Linked DNA regions of Drosophila melanogaster. Changing the gene in region 1 together with any one later gene gives a genetic interaction. Each region holds a gene or a part of one and is shown on either strand. Other genes may lie near its edges. The genes, in order: spas and atl.

What was found.
Region 2: of spas (region 1) and atl, changing one suppresses a phenotype caused by changing the other (phenotypic suppression), as found in Drosophila melanogaster (one study listed by BioGRID).

The regions. Positions count from the first base shown.
Region 1 is NT_033777.3:24,036,275-24,043,447, forward strand, and holds spas (spastin), read left to right. Parts: upstream 1-1,940; 5' UTR 1,941-2,234; coding exon 2,235-2,988; intron 2,989-3,320; coding exon 3,321-3,491; intron 3,492-3,636; coding exon 3,637-3,822; intron 3,823-4,031; coding exon 4,032-4,198; intron 4,199-4,293; coding exon 4,294-4,546; intron 4,547-4,604; coding exon 4,605-5,350; 3' UTR 5,351-6,380; downstream 6,381-7,173. Other genes in the region: Miro (mitochondrial Rho), read right to left, coding at 1-544, 657-1,274. UniProt on the Drosophila melanogaster protein: ATP-dependent microtubule severing protein. Stimulates microtubule minus-end depolymerization and poleward microtubule flux in the mitotic spindle. Regulates microtubule stability in the neuromuscular junction synapse.
Region 2 is NT_033777.3:24,623,580-24,628,713, reverse strand, and holds the start of atl (atlastin), read right to left. Parts: upstream 3,044-5,134; 5' UTR 2,902-3,043; intron 1,649-2,901; exon of another isoform or gene 1,339-1,648; coding exon of another isoform or gene 52-1,338; intron 1-51. Other genes in the region: wsck, read left to right, coding at 52-1,338; Syx18 (syntaxin 18), read left to right, coding at 3,241-4,239, 4,559-4,747. UniProt on the Drosophila melanogaster protein: Membrane-anchored GTPase that mediates the GTP-dependent fusion of endoplasmic reticulum (ER) membranes, maintaining the continuous ER network. It facilitates the formation of three-way junctions where ER tubules intersect.

The DNA.
Region 1 (7,173 bases):
GTGTCACCCATCCAGTTGTCTCGTTGATCGGGCAGGACTTGCGTATGTCGGTGGAGTAGGACCACGGAGCAGCCGGGCATGTGCTGAAGAGCATCTTGTGCTCCTCAGGTGATAAGGCTCCGTCGCCATCGCGATCATAGCGCTCAAACACGGCAATCAGAAACTGCTGTCCGCGGTGCGAGAGTTCTGTGCTGCTGCCAGGCGGTATTTTCAGCGGTGGCCTAAGATACTCCTGGCACATCTCCAACTGGTCGTTATAGCCAAAGCGCCGTAACACCGCCCAGGTTGTCTCGTTCCTTCCCCGCTGAATGAAAAGGCAGTGTAAGAAGAGGAAGCCCTTCAGGGTGACCGCATCGTTGTATATGCCATCGGGCACATTTTTCTGTATCACGGCCTTCACCTCATCAAGGATTTGCGGCTGGAGTGGTGTGTTGAAACAGCGTCGCTGGAATAAATTCAGCTCGTAATCGTTCAACAGATTGTCCCCGTCAATGTCGCAGATCTTGAAAATGCGCACCAGCGACTTCTTGCAGGCGGATGTGAGCTGAAAATGCGAAGTTTTATTAGAAGAGTACAAGCTGATTACCTATCGCAAAACCGCCAATTACGGCGCAATGATATAGTTGCGACCTATGATCCACTCCGGAAGCACTTACCTCCTGTTCTTCCATCATATACAGGGGAGAAGTCGGGTGCAGCACAGCCTTCTGGGCGTAGTAAAACATCTCGGAGATGTTGTGCAGCGACTTGGCAGAGCACTCCACGCAACTCTCAATCTCGGGGTAGTCTTCCATGATGGCCAGCACGCTGTCCATGGTGGAATACTCGATGAGGTCTATTTTGTTACCCACCAGAACGATTGGCTTCCGAATGGGCTCTCGTTGTGTGTCTCCTTCCGCCTCCGCTTCGGCATCACCCTCGCCGTCCAGGGAGGGATTGCACTTGGCCCGGACGAGCGGCAGCCAATGGGATGTGATCCGATCCAAAGTGTCGTCATCGTCCACGGCGTACACTATGCACACCACGTGCGCCTTGTTAATTTCGGCGGCCAGGGCATCCTCCGACTGCTCCACGGCCGAGAAGTCAACTATGCTGGTGGGCACCTGCTCGGGCGTCACGTTCGCCGGAATGGTAATCTCCTCAGCCCTAGGCGGAACCTCCTCCGGGTACTCCTCACTGACCAGAGACAGAATCAACGACGTCTTACCCACCCCGGCGTCGCCGACGAGCAGGATCCTAACATTCTTGCGCTGCGACGCCGTGTACTGTCCCATTCCGACTGCTCTCCAAGTGAGATATGCCGCTCCTGTGCTCGTGCTCTGCTGGTCAGAGATCGCTGGCGTTTAGGCCGAAATTCTAGGATTTTGTTATGCAAAAACGCAAAAAAAAACAACCCAGAGTGATGGGGATGGCAGTAGGTGTATCAAGGTCGATATATCGCAACCCAGCTACCAGGGCTGCCACACTAGGCGACCGCCAAATAATGCGATATTTTTCCCCAATTTTCCGGCAATTGTGTTTGAATTCTACGAATTTAACAAATCAAAACTATTATTTCGATCAGTTGCTTAAAATTGATCACGTAATTTAAATATTTCCATCCAAAAACATCGGATCCGAAACTGTCTGGTAACTTTATTGACAGCTGGATCTCTACGATATGACAAGTTAGCGTTTTTCCGCTAAATCAGCCAACCGTTAAGGATGTTGTAAAGGACACAAAATGTTTTCTGTTAAAAATATTCGTATAAACAAAAAGGAAATGATAAACAAGGCAATAAATCAAACTTACCTTCAATTACGAATGTCTCCATACTGCACTTCGGTGAAAGTCTCCCAAATTATATTTCATCCGTTACATTCCACCATTTAAACTTTGAAATTGCCTGTTTGTCTGACTTCACAACCTTGCCCGCTAGATTTGGTAATCGATAGTTGGTCAGCACTGGCTGGGACTCCAGAGCTTAGCTTCAATTTTCAACGTAGTGAGAGTTGTAAGTGCGGAAGAAAATCAGTACTCTCGGATATCAGCAAAATGAGCACTAGCTCAAACGACGTACAACAATAATATTCGAGATTTGTTTGTTTTTTTGTGCGGCATCGATACAAACGCGTGCCACGGCCAACCGATTTGGCTTACAAGGATAATTTCCCCGTGCAACTTTCACGGGGTTAGGGCAAGGAGAGCAGGGGGCCGGAGTGCTGGACGCGCAGACAGCGCGGAATCGATATCGATGGTACGCACTAAAAACCAGTCGTCCTCCTCCAGCGCCAGCAGCAGCAGCACCAAGTCACCAATAAAGTCCAGCAGCGGGGCAGGATCATCCGGCGGAGGACTCGGTGGTCGCCAGTCCACTCACCGCTCGTCGAGCGCCTCAAACGTTGCTGCCGTTGTTGCCGGCGGTTCATCTGCCGCCGGTGGAGGCTCCTCATCGAATCGCCGTAGTCCGGGCAGCTCACCCGACGGCGACGACGACACCACCACCACAGATGACCTGACCCCCACAACGTGCTCCCCACGCAGCGGCCACCACCATTCGTACGGCGGCTACTCGTCCTCTGTGCACAAACAGAACCTCTACGTCGTCTCGTTCCCCATAATCTTTCTTTTCAACGTTCTGCGCTCGCTGATTTATCAGCTGTTTTGTATTTTTCGCTACCTATACGGTGCGAGCACAAAGGTGATATACCGCCCGCACCGACGCGACTGTAATATTGAAATCGTGGTGCAGAATTCCTCCAAGGAGCAACAGCAGTCGTTGAACCATCCTTCGGAGCTGAACCGTGAAGGTGACGGACAGGAACAGCAGTTATCCAATCAGCCACAGCGTTTCAGGCCCATTCAACCGTTGGAGATGGCCGCCAATCGTCCGGGAGGAGGGTATTCACCTGGTCCCGGCGATCCATTGCTGGCCAAGCAGAAGCATCACCATCGACGCGCCTTCGAGTACATCTCCAAGGCGCTCAAAATTGATGAGGAGAACGAAGGTGAGTTTCGGCGACGGGGGTGGCAGCTCCAGTTCGAGTTCGAGTGCTCGAATGCTCAATGAGTCATCGCCCGCTGTCCGCTTTTGTTGTCTGTCGAGTGTGAGAATCAATAAGGCAAAACGCGCGCACAATGGATGCCCCAAATGTCAACAGGAGTAGGGTTGTCTGCCTTGATGGACTTTTATGGAGTGGAAGTTCTCCAAGCATGCGATTTTTAAATTCTAATGCATATAAGCGTACTCTTTGTCAAATTATTTATAAGAGGAAAGCGAGCTTGATTGAACATAATAGTTATAAAATAAACATAAAATAATATTATTCTATATATTCAGGTCACAAAGAGCTGGCAATTGAGCTCTACCGAAAAGGTATCAAGGAGCTAGAGGATGGCATAGCTGTCGATTGCTGGAGTGGACGTGGTGATGTGTGGGATCGGGCTCAGCGCCTGCACGACAAGATGCAGACAAACCTTTCGATGGCGCGGGATCGTCTCCATTTTCTAGGTAAGTGACCAGTCATATTTCCTATACCCCTAAAACATAGGATTTGTTTACCTCATTTTTTTTTTATTTCATTTTGCACGTTTTCCCCTGCTTTTTTGTTGTCCCCTCCGTTTTGTCCATATGCACATGTTCATCCGGTGCGCAGCTCTGCGTGAGCAGGATTTGCAAATGCAGCGCCTCTCCTTAAAGGAGAAGCAGAAAGAAGAGGCTCAAAGCAAGCCGCAGAAGACCAGGGAGCCCATGCTGGCAGGAATGACCAACGAACCAATGAAACTAAGGGTGCGCAGCAGTGGCTATGGGCCCAAGGCCACCACCAGTGCCCAACCCACTGGTAAGTTCCTCACCAGCTAACGCGCACCCAACAAGATCCTCACACGCCAGCGCAAAGCCACCATAAGCAGATCGATTAGTCAATCCCTATCACCTCACTTGGCACTTGATTTTCTTAGAATTTTTTATTTCGATTGGCCAAATTGTAAACTTGTAAAAGAGTATATTCTTCCGCATTATCCATCTCTGATTGTGCTAATTCGTTCACAGCATCTGGCCGCAAACTGACAATTGGATCCAAACGACCCGTCAACTTGGCCGTGGCCAACAAATCACAAACGCTGCCCCGCAACCTTGGCTCCAAAACATCTGTAGGCGCAGTCCAAAGGCAACCAGCCAAGACAGCTGCAACGCCTCCCGCCGTTCGGCGACAATTTGTGAGTATCTGATAAGTAAACTAAATTTGTTTTTACACATTTGGCAAATACTCAGAAATTAAAATACTAATTAAACTAAATTACTCATATTACAGTCTTCGGGGCGTAATACGCCGCCCCAGCGTTCGCGGACTCCCATAAACAACAACGGACCCAGTGGCAGTGGCGCCAGCACTCCGGTGGTTAGTGTGAAGGGAGTGGAACAGAAGCTGGTGCAACTTATACTCGACGAGATCGTCGAGGGTGGGGCCAAAGTGGAGTGGACTGACATTGCCGGTCAGGATGTGGCCAAGCAGGCTCTACAGGAAATGGTCATTCTACCCTCCGTCCGACCGGAACTCTTTACGGGTGAGTTGGTTATTCTGCGACTAGAACCGTCACCATAACCAATCTTCTTCCTTTTTAGGGCTTCGTGCACCGGCTAAGGGTTTATTGCTGTTTGGTCCTCCCGGAAATGGCAAGACACTGCTGGCCCGCGCCGTGGCTACTGAGTGTAGTGCCACCTTCCTGAACATTTCGGCTGCCTCGCTGACCAGCAAGTACGTGGGGGATGGCGAGAAACTGGTGAGGGCTCTCTTCGCCGTGGCCCGTCACATGCAGCCCTCCATTATTTTCATCGACGAGGTGGACTCGTTGCTTTCAGAGCGAAGCAGCAGCGAGCATGAAGCATCGCGTCGCCTAAAGACCGAGTTTCTAGTGGAGTTCGATGGGCTGCCTGGAAATCCAGACGGAGACAGGATCGTGGTGCTGGCCGCCACCAATCGACCGCAGGAATTGGACGAGGCAGCCCTGCGTCGGTTCACAAAGCGCGTTTACGTCTCACTGCCCGACGAGCAAACCCGCGAGCTGCTCCTCAATCGACTGCTCCAGAAGCAAGGCAGTCCGTTGGATACCGAGGCGTTGCGTCGCCTTGCAAAGATAACAGACGGATACTCGGGCTCCGACTTAACGGCACTGGCCAAGGACGCCGCATTGGAGCCCATTCGAGAGTTGAATGTGGAGCAAGTGAAGTGTCTGGACATCAGTGCAATGCGTGCAATCACAGAGCAGGACTTTCACAGTTCGCTCAAGCGCATCAGGCGCTCGGTGGCGCCGCAAAGCCTCAACTCATATGAGAAGTGGTCGCAAGATTATGGCGACATCACCATCTAGTCTGTTCTAGCCAATGATCCTGCCCTCCTTCATCAATCCAATTTGGAGAAGCTGTGATGTGAGTCTCAGAGCGCAACCCATTGTCGTTACACTAGTTTTGATTATGTGACCCATGTTTTTCGCCCTTAAGGTTCTATTCAATCCGTAGACTTTTCGTTTCACAAACATTGTTACATTTGTATTTACCTGTGAGTTATTTAATATGATTTGTTTCCCAGCTATTTCTGGTGTTTTAGCCTAAGAACATTGTATTGTATTTTTTCGTTGTTTAACCACCATGTCCATGTGGTGCAACATTTGCCATGCAGCTCCATTATCGTTATACTCATACTCATGGTATATATTTCTAAGATCTGTACTTTTCATTGGAGTTCTTAGAATAGTAGGTTTGCCCTATCTTCGTTTATGATAGTAATTCAAGGCCACATTGCTTTATAAATTAGTTTTTTGAAACATTCCGTAGTGATTTTTTGTAAGACAGGCGGCCCAAGGAGTTCACAACTACTTCCATTGTATCCTTGAACTATAAAGCATATTTTTGTTGTACATTGAGTGCCCATCCACAAGCTACATGTAATCTAGAAGTAAGCGTAGACCTAAGACCGATGATATACTTATACACACCCACAAAGATACATTTACCAGCGCAGAATCGTATTTAAGTTTTAATAGTTATCACTGTCCGTATGGTTAGTCTAGTTTAGTTCCTTTGTTTCAATCTATGTACCTACAGCCATAAATACAATCGTCTCCGATTCACCTATATTATTAGTAACACACCCAAAAATGTTGTACCTAGCAGGTGCGTATGGATCTGGTGTTATCAGATCGATCAGATACATCTTCACCCGCGCACATGCCCGTCGCTTATCGCGACACATTGAACCAGCTTCAACGCAGCTCGCCCACCCGGAATTTGAGTTCTTTGACTAGTTACTAAACACAGATACAAAAAAAAACTACATGCATATAAAACTATATATATAAAGAAATCTATAGAATACGCTAAATAAAATCGATTTCAAGAAACATCAATTGCATTCTTAATCATCAACAAAATTCTAAGCTATTGGAAACCATTGGTAGTGTATTGAGAATTGAGCAACGGCTGACATCACCAGGTGCATTTAAATTAAGAGAAAGTAAGCAGAAGAATTAAGCATTCATGAAAACTAGTTTCGCAGAAAAACTGCGTCTCACTAGAGAATATTAAAGCTATAAAATTCATTCATGTATGTATGTTATACCTTAAGAAAACTTTTTAGCACAATTGTAAAAGTTAATTACTTTTTAACTATATTTTAGACTCCGCTGAATCCTCCACCAGATTTGTAGTAGTAGTAACCACTTCTATCATCAATGATATAAATTAAAGTTTGAAATAATAATTCCACATCCTAATTCATTACCTCAATATAAAAACCAGCGTCCCTTCGTTTTCTCACTTGTTTTATATATTTTTTTGCTTCTTTATTTTACATTTTACATATTTATATCGCATTTCGTTTTCCACATTGGAAATATACAATATGTATGCTCGAATTTACATTCTCTTAGTGACTAAATTTGTTTTTCCTCTTGTTTTTGCATTCGGCTTGCTTGCTTGCGGCTATCCTTTCATCCCACTGAAACTACCCTCTTTCCGTCTTCAGTTTTCGTTGACACATGTTCCACATAGTTACAATTACAATTTGCTTTGTCACGTTTTTGTTTCGATTGTTTTCTTTTTGTTTTAACTCTGTCGCGCGTAATTAGCATTTTCTCTTTTCAGTTTTTATTTGTTTGTTTTTGTTGAATTTCTCATTCGGTTTATTTTATTTCCG
Region 2 (5,134 bases), 590 kb from region 1:
GAGTAATGCATTAAATTCGAATGAATATCTCTGTAACTATTTATATTCTAGGTGAGCACACTGGAGGGCGTTACCAAGACGATGTACAGTCGTGGAACTCACGACCAGCATGTGACATCCCTAGACGACTTTAGTTACGCCACCTTTGAGAAGGGTCAATCCTCGGTGGTTGCCCTAGCTGTCACCTGTGTGATCTTCGGCTCCTGCCTCCTGCTCAGTCTTATTGCCTACTTCTATCTGCGCTACAAGACCTGCCGCGGGCGACGATTGACTGGTGGCAATACGCACGAGATGACGCTGCAAACGCCCATAATCGAGCGGGAAAATAACGGATACCTTGTGGAGGACGATCCACTGCCACACTCGCCGGAAAACTTCAAGCAGCAGTTGCAACAGTTGGTGGAAGGATACGAACGGATACCAAGGAATGCACTACGACTAAATGTGAACGATGTGATCGGAGACGGACGCTTTGGTGAGATTATAACCGGAAAGGTTTCCACAAACGATTTTGCCAGAGATTGCACCCTGCACGTGCTCTGTCTGGACGATCTGAATGGTACTACACAGGCACAGTTGCTGAGAGAACTACGTCAGTTGTCTCAATTGAAGCGCCAGGAGCATTTGCTAGATTTCTATGGAGTATCAGCAAGTCCCGATTGGTTCTACCTAATCTTCGAGCAGCAACGCATGAGTCTAAAGAGAAAACTGGTGGAGAGTCGCCTGATGGCACCGTCGCCACGCTTGACTTCCCTCTCTGAGCAGCTAGTGCTGCAGTGGATCTACGAGCTTGCCAGTGCCATGAATTATCTATCCAGCTGCCAGGTGGTGCATCGACAGCTCTGCTCGCACAGCGTCTTCGTTACCAGCGATTTCAAGCTAAAACTGAGCGTCTTTGGACCGCTGCCCTACATGAACATTGCTCGCCAGCAGCCAGACCACAACCGGTGGCTGGCCCCGGAGGTGCTGCGCCATCAGCATCACCATTCCACCCGTTCTGATGTCTGGTCCCTGGCCTGCGTGGCGTGGGAATGCTGTGCCCTTGGCGGTACTCCCTATGCCAATGCAGTGGCAAGTAACCAACAGCTTCTAGAGGCCATTCGGGCTGCAGTGCGTCCGGCGCAGCCAGCCTACGTCTACGGGGATCTCTACCAGCTGCTGCTCAACTGCTGGCAGCTGGAGCCGAGCGAGCGGAGCAGCTGTGAGGACGTGGCCTTCGGAGTACGTCAGCTGATGACCTCACCGCGTCATGCCCTCAGCTTTGATCGAGTGGCCGGCGGACTAGACACCCTGCCTCCGTACCTGCCGCAACTGGAAGCCGTTGCTACGATGGGCTGAGGTGCAGCCGAATAGTATAATTAGCTTTAGTCAGCGAGAGACCACATTCGCATAGAGTAGATTTCGGTTCTGAGTCACTGCTGCTAAGAGAAAACATCACTTCATTTCGATTTTAGATGAGTTCACTTTCAGTGTTCTGAAGAGAAAATAATTTGTTTTAGAATTTACACATTGATTTAATAAAGCTCATAAATTGTTATTATCCATATAATATTAGAAGTGAGCATTTATGAAACACAATTCGATGTTTATTGTTAATACGCACAAACTTCCTACAAATAAAAGAGTGTTCTATGCCAGAGCTTATCAGATCTATAAGGTAGTTAATTGCTTATCTACAACCCGAAAGAAAGGAATCGACTTTCCCCCACGCGAAACAAAGTTCAAGCGAACGTGCTCGATGGAGAGCGCGATAGATAAAAGACTACTGACAGTCTGGCCCCCAAAATTGTGTAATAAATTGAGGGATCCATAGCGAATGGATCTACCAACAGACCAGCGACTGTGATTCCCCCGCCGATCGCTGATGTTGCACAAACCAGACAAAAGCGAAAACTAAAAGCAAAAAAAAAACCAAGGGAGAGAGCCGCGAATGCGAAACTTTGATCGCTGGCGAGCAGCAATTAATAATAGAAAATAAACGGCGGTGTTGCTTAAGTGTGAGTGGATCAAAATTGACGATTAATCAGTTTAAAGGTCTTGCATTGCATCTATTGTTTGTTATGTTGTTTAAGAATTAATTAGGGAAATTGTTGGCAGCAGCCTAGATGCGGTTACATGCATTATTAGTCATCCGAAATAGTAGGGCACTTTATGTATGTATATTCCATTGGTTTGGACAATCATCTTATAATGAAGCTACATAGCAAAAAAAAAAAAAAAATCTAAATCTGTGTATATTCTTCCGATATGCACTTTTCAAATGAAATGTTCAAAATTCGTTATCAGTACTTAAAATTTCTCACTATGTACAAGCTTATCTCGGGATCCTTCCCAAAGAAGATAAGCCATTGTTTCTCTTGTCGACGTGTAACTATTGGATCCACCAAAAAACCCAAAGCACATGGCTCACCCGGAATTTAGAGCGACTTTCTTATAGAGTATATGGTAAATACGGTAAATGAAGCGCAACGATATCCATAGCGACTTTTGGACGCTTACCTTGCCCGCAATTCAAGGTGAAATGACGACGAACAATTGAAGTCACTGAAATGTGTATACATTCCGAGCAAATGGGCAATTATTATTAATAAATCGAGCTGAATGGCTGCTATCGGAATTCAGGGGCTTCGACTGCCGACCATGCTCATGAATATGTGGAAGATGATGATGATGATGAGGTTCATCCGGTATTGGCCAACTTTGCGAGTGTTTTGCATTCGCCTGGTTAAATTGTTATTGTTTTTGTTACATATACACACATGGAGATTATGAGGAATCCAAGGAAACTGGTTGCTCACACACGCACACCAACGCACTGCGACGGAGCCACTCACGCACACTACCAAATGGTCGGCTAACTGCGCAAATAATGCGGCTTCTGTGTCGGCCTTTGTTACTCACTTTACTTAACCATTTACATCGGACACTGGACTTCACTGCGCTGCGATTTTTCGACACTTTGGAAGCAGAAAAGTACGTATTTTGTTTGTGCTCTGCCAATGGTGTGACCGTACACCGTTGGGCGAAAAATCACCTATAAGTGTGGGGGTGAAAATTCATTAGCCAACACTGAAATGCTTATCGATAACATTTAGCTATTTTTAGTATTAGCTAACTGGTATATATTAACGGTCATCATAAGGTCACACTGCAAACGGTTAAACGAACGGCCACATTGTGTTGGACCGATGATGTGGATTTAAAAGTTAAATATTTCAAACTTAGTTATAGCAAATAGCTATGGACATCACCCAGAGCTTCAAGGCCAGCGTAATGACGGTGCGCCTGCAGCGCAAGGCCGAGCTGGCCGGAAAGGCCAAGCCCGCCACAGTGCCGACAAAAACTGGACCAATTGGCCCAAAGGATGACTTCGCCAAGCAGGCCAAGGAGGTGTGCAACAAGATCACTTCGCTGCGCAATGTGCTGATCGAGAACCGCACCGCCTACATGCGCATTGGCCAGCACCTCAAGTCCGCCGCACACATGACCGACGCGCAGCGGGATCTGATTGATCGCGAGTCGGAGAAGTTCGTCACCTTTTACACGCAGCACCTGGCCAAGATGCGCAGCGATTGGAAGAGCGCCAAGCGGAAGCCGCAGGAGCGTCAGCACATCGACGCCGTGCTGGACCTGCTGGTCAGCTATTTGCACAGCGTGGAACAGATCTATCTGGACCAAAAGAAGTACCGTGTGCAACACGAACTGGAAACCTATAGGCTGCTCAAGCTGGCGGCGGACAAAAAGAAGATACCAGTGCGTCCGGCGGGCAGCAACAGTGGCAAGCTGGGCAGGCGCCAGGTCAGCAACGATGACAGCGAAGCCACGAAGTCATCTTCACAAGCAAATGGCAACCACGACGAGTCCGCCGACAATGACTGGAATAACGACGCCTGGGGCGACTGGGATGAAGACGAGGAAGGCGACGAGGTGGACGATCACGATGGCGAGAAGGGCAAGGAAGCCAATCAGGCCAATCAACACAAACCGCGTACGCGCAAACGAAGCAAAGCCAACAGATCGGATCTGAACAACTCATCCTCCAAGATGGCTCTGGATGAGGAGCTCCAGCAGCAGCAGGAGGCCGACGATGACGATCCCCTAAGCGCCGAGGATGTGCAGCTCTTCGAGGCGGAGAACGTACACATCTACAACTTTCTGCAGGGCGTCTCCGAGGAGGTGGAGCAGATCGAAAAGAACGTGGTAGACATTGCCCAACTGCAGGACATTTTCACCGAAAAGGTAAGATGGCATGATAACACAAGTCCCAAGGAATCCTTGCTGTTCTTAACAACGATATCTTTAGTTTAATTTTGGTGAGAACATATTGCTCCATATTGCCAAGAATACTTAGTGGGTTTAAGTGGCTGCCCATATGTTTGTCGACTTAATCCTTCAATTAAAAATATTAATTGGCTTCGCTAAAATCCACATCCTTCGCGATTACAATGGATGTATAAGCCGGGCTCTTATTAGCATGCAATTAATTATTAACTAGATCCAGATAGATCCACGTCCTAATCTCATTTAATCCTCTTAAATTTCCCTTTCCCTTTTGTAGGTCGCCATGCAACAGCACAATATCGACAGGATAGTTAGTGCCGTCGTGGGCACCACGGAAAACGTCAAGGACGCCAACGAGCAAATCCGGCAGGCCACTCAACGAAATGCAGGACTACGCGTGTGGTCGCTGTTCTTCCTGCTGGTCATGTCGTTCTCCCTGCTCTTCTTGGACTGGTACTACGATTAAGTGAAGTCCCCAAATTTATGTGTAACCCACCCAATTTAGGGAATGATAAATGCAAAAATGTTTTGTTATCGTTTGATCGCACTAAAAGCATATTTTGTTTATTACATAATTTATAAATAAAAGGAAAATATTTGTTTAGGCTATTCAACTGCCTTGTTTCAATTCAATGAAACCTCGTACAACAATATGGAACTAAAATCGATTTGAGCGCCTTGCTCACACATGTCTCAGTAGTTAATTTAAATTCTACACCAAAATGTGTTTTAGTGTGTTGCTTGGTACATTGTTTATATCTAGGTCCTTAGTCATATTATTTTCATTAAACGCTCTTCAAAAAAATATATATATATATCTAACTGGGAACGGAAATCAGCAATAAGTATGTAT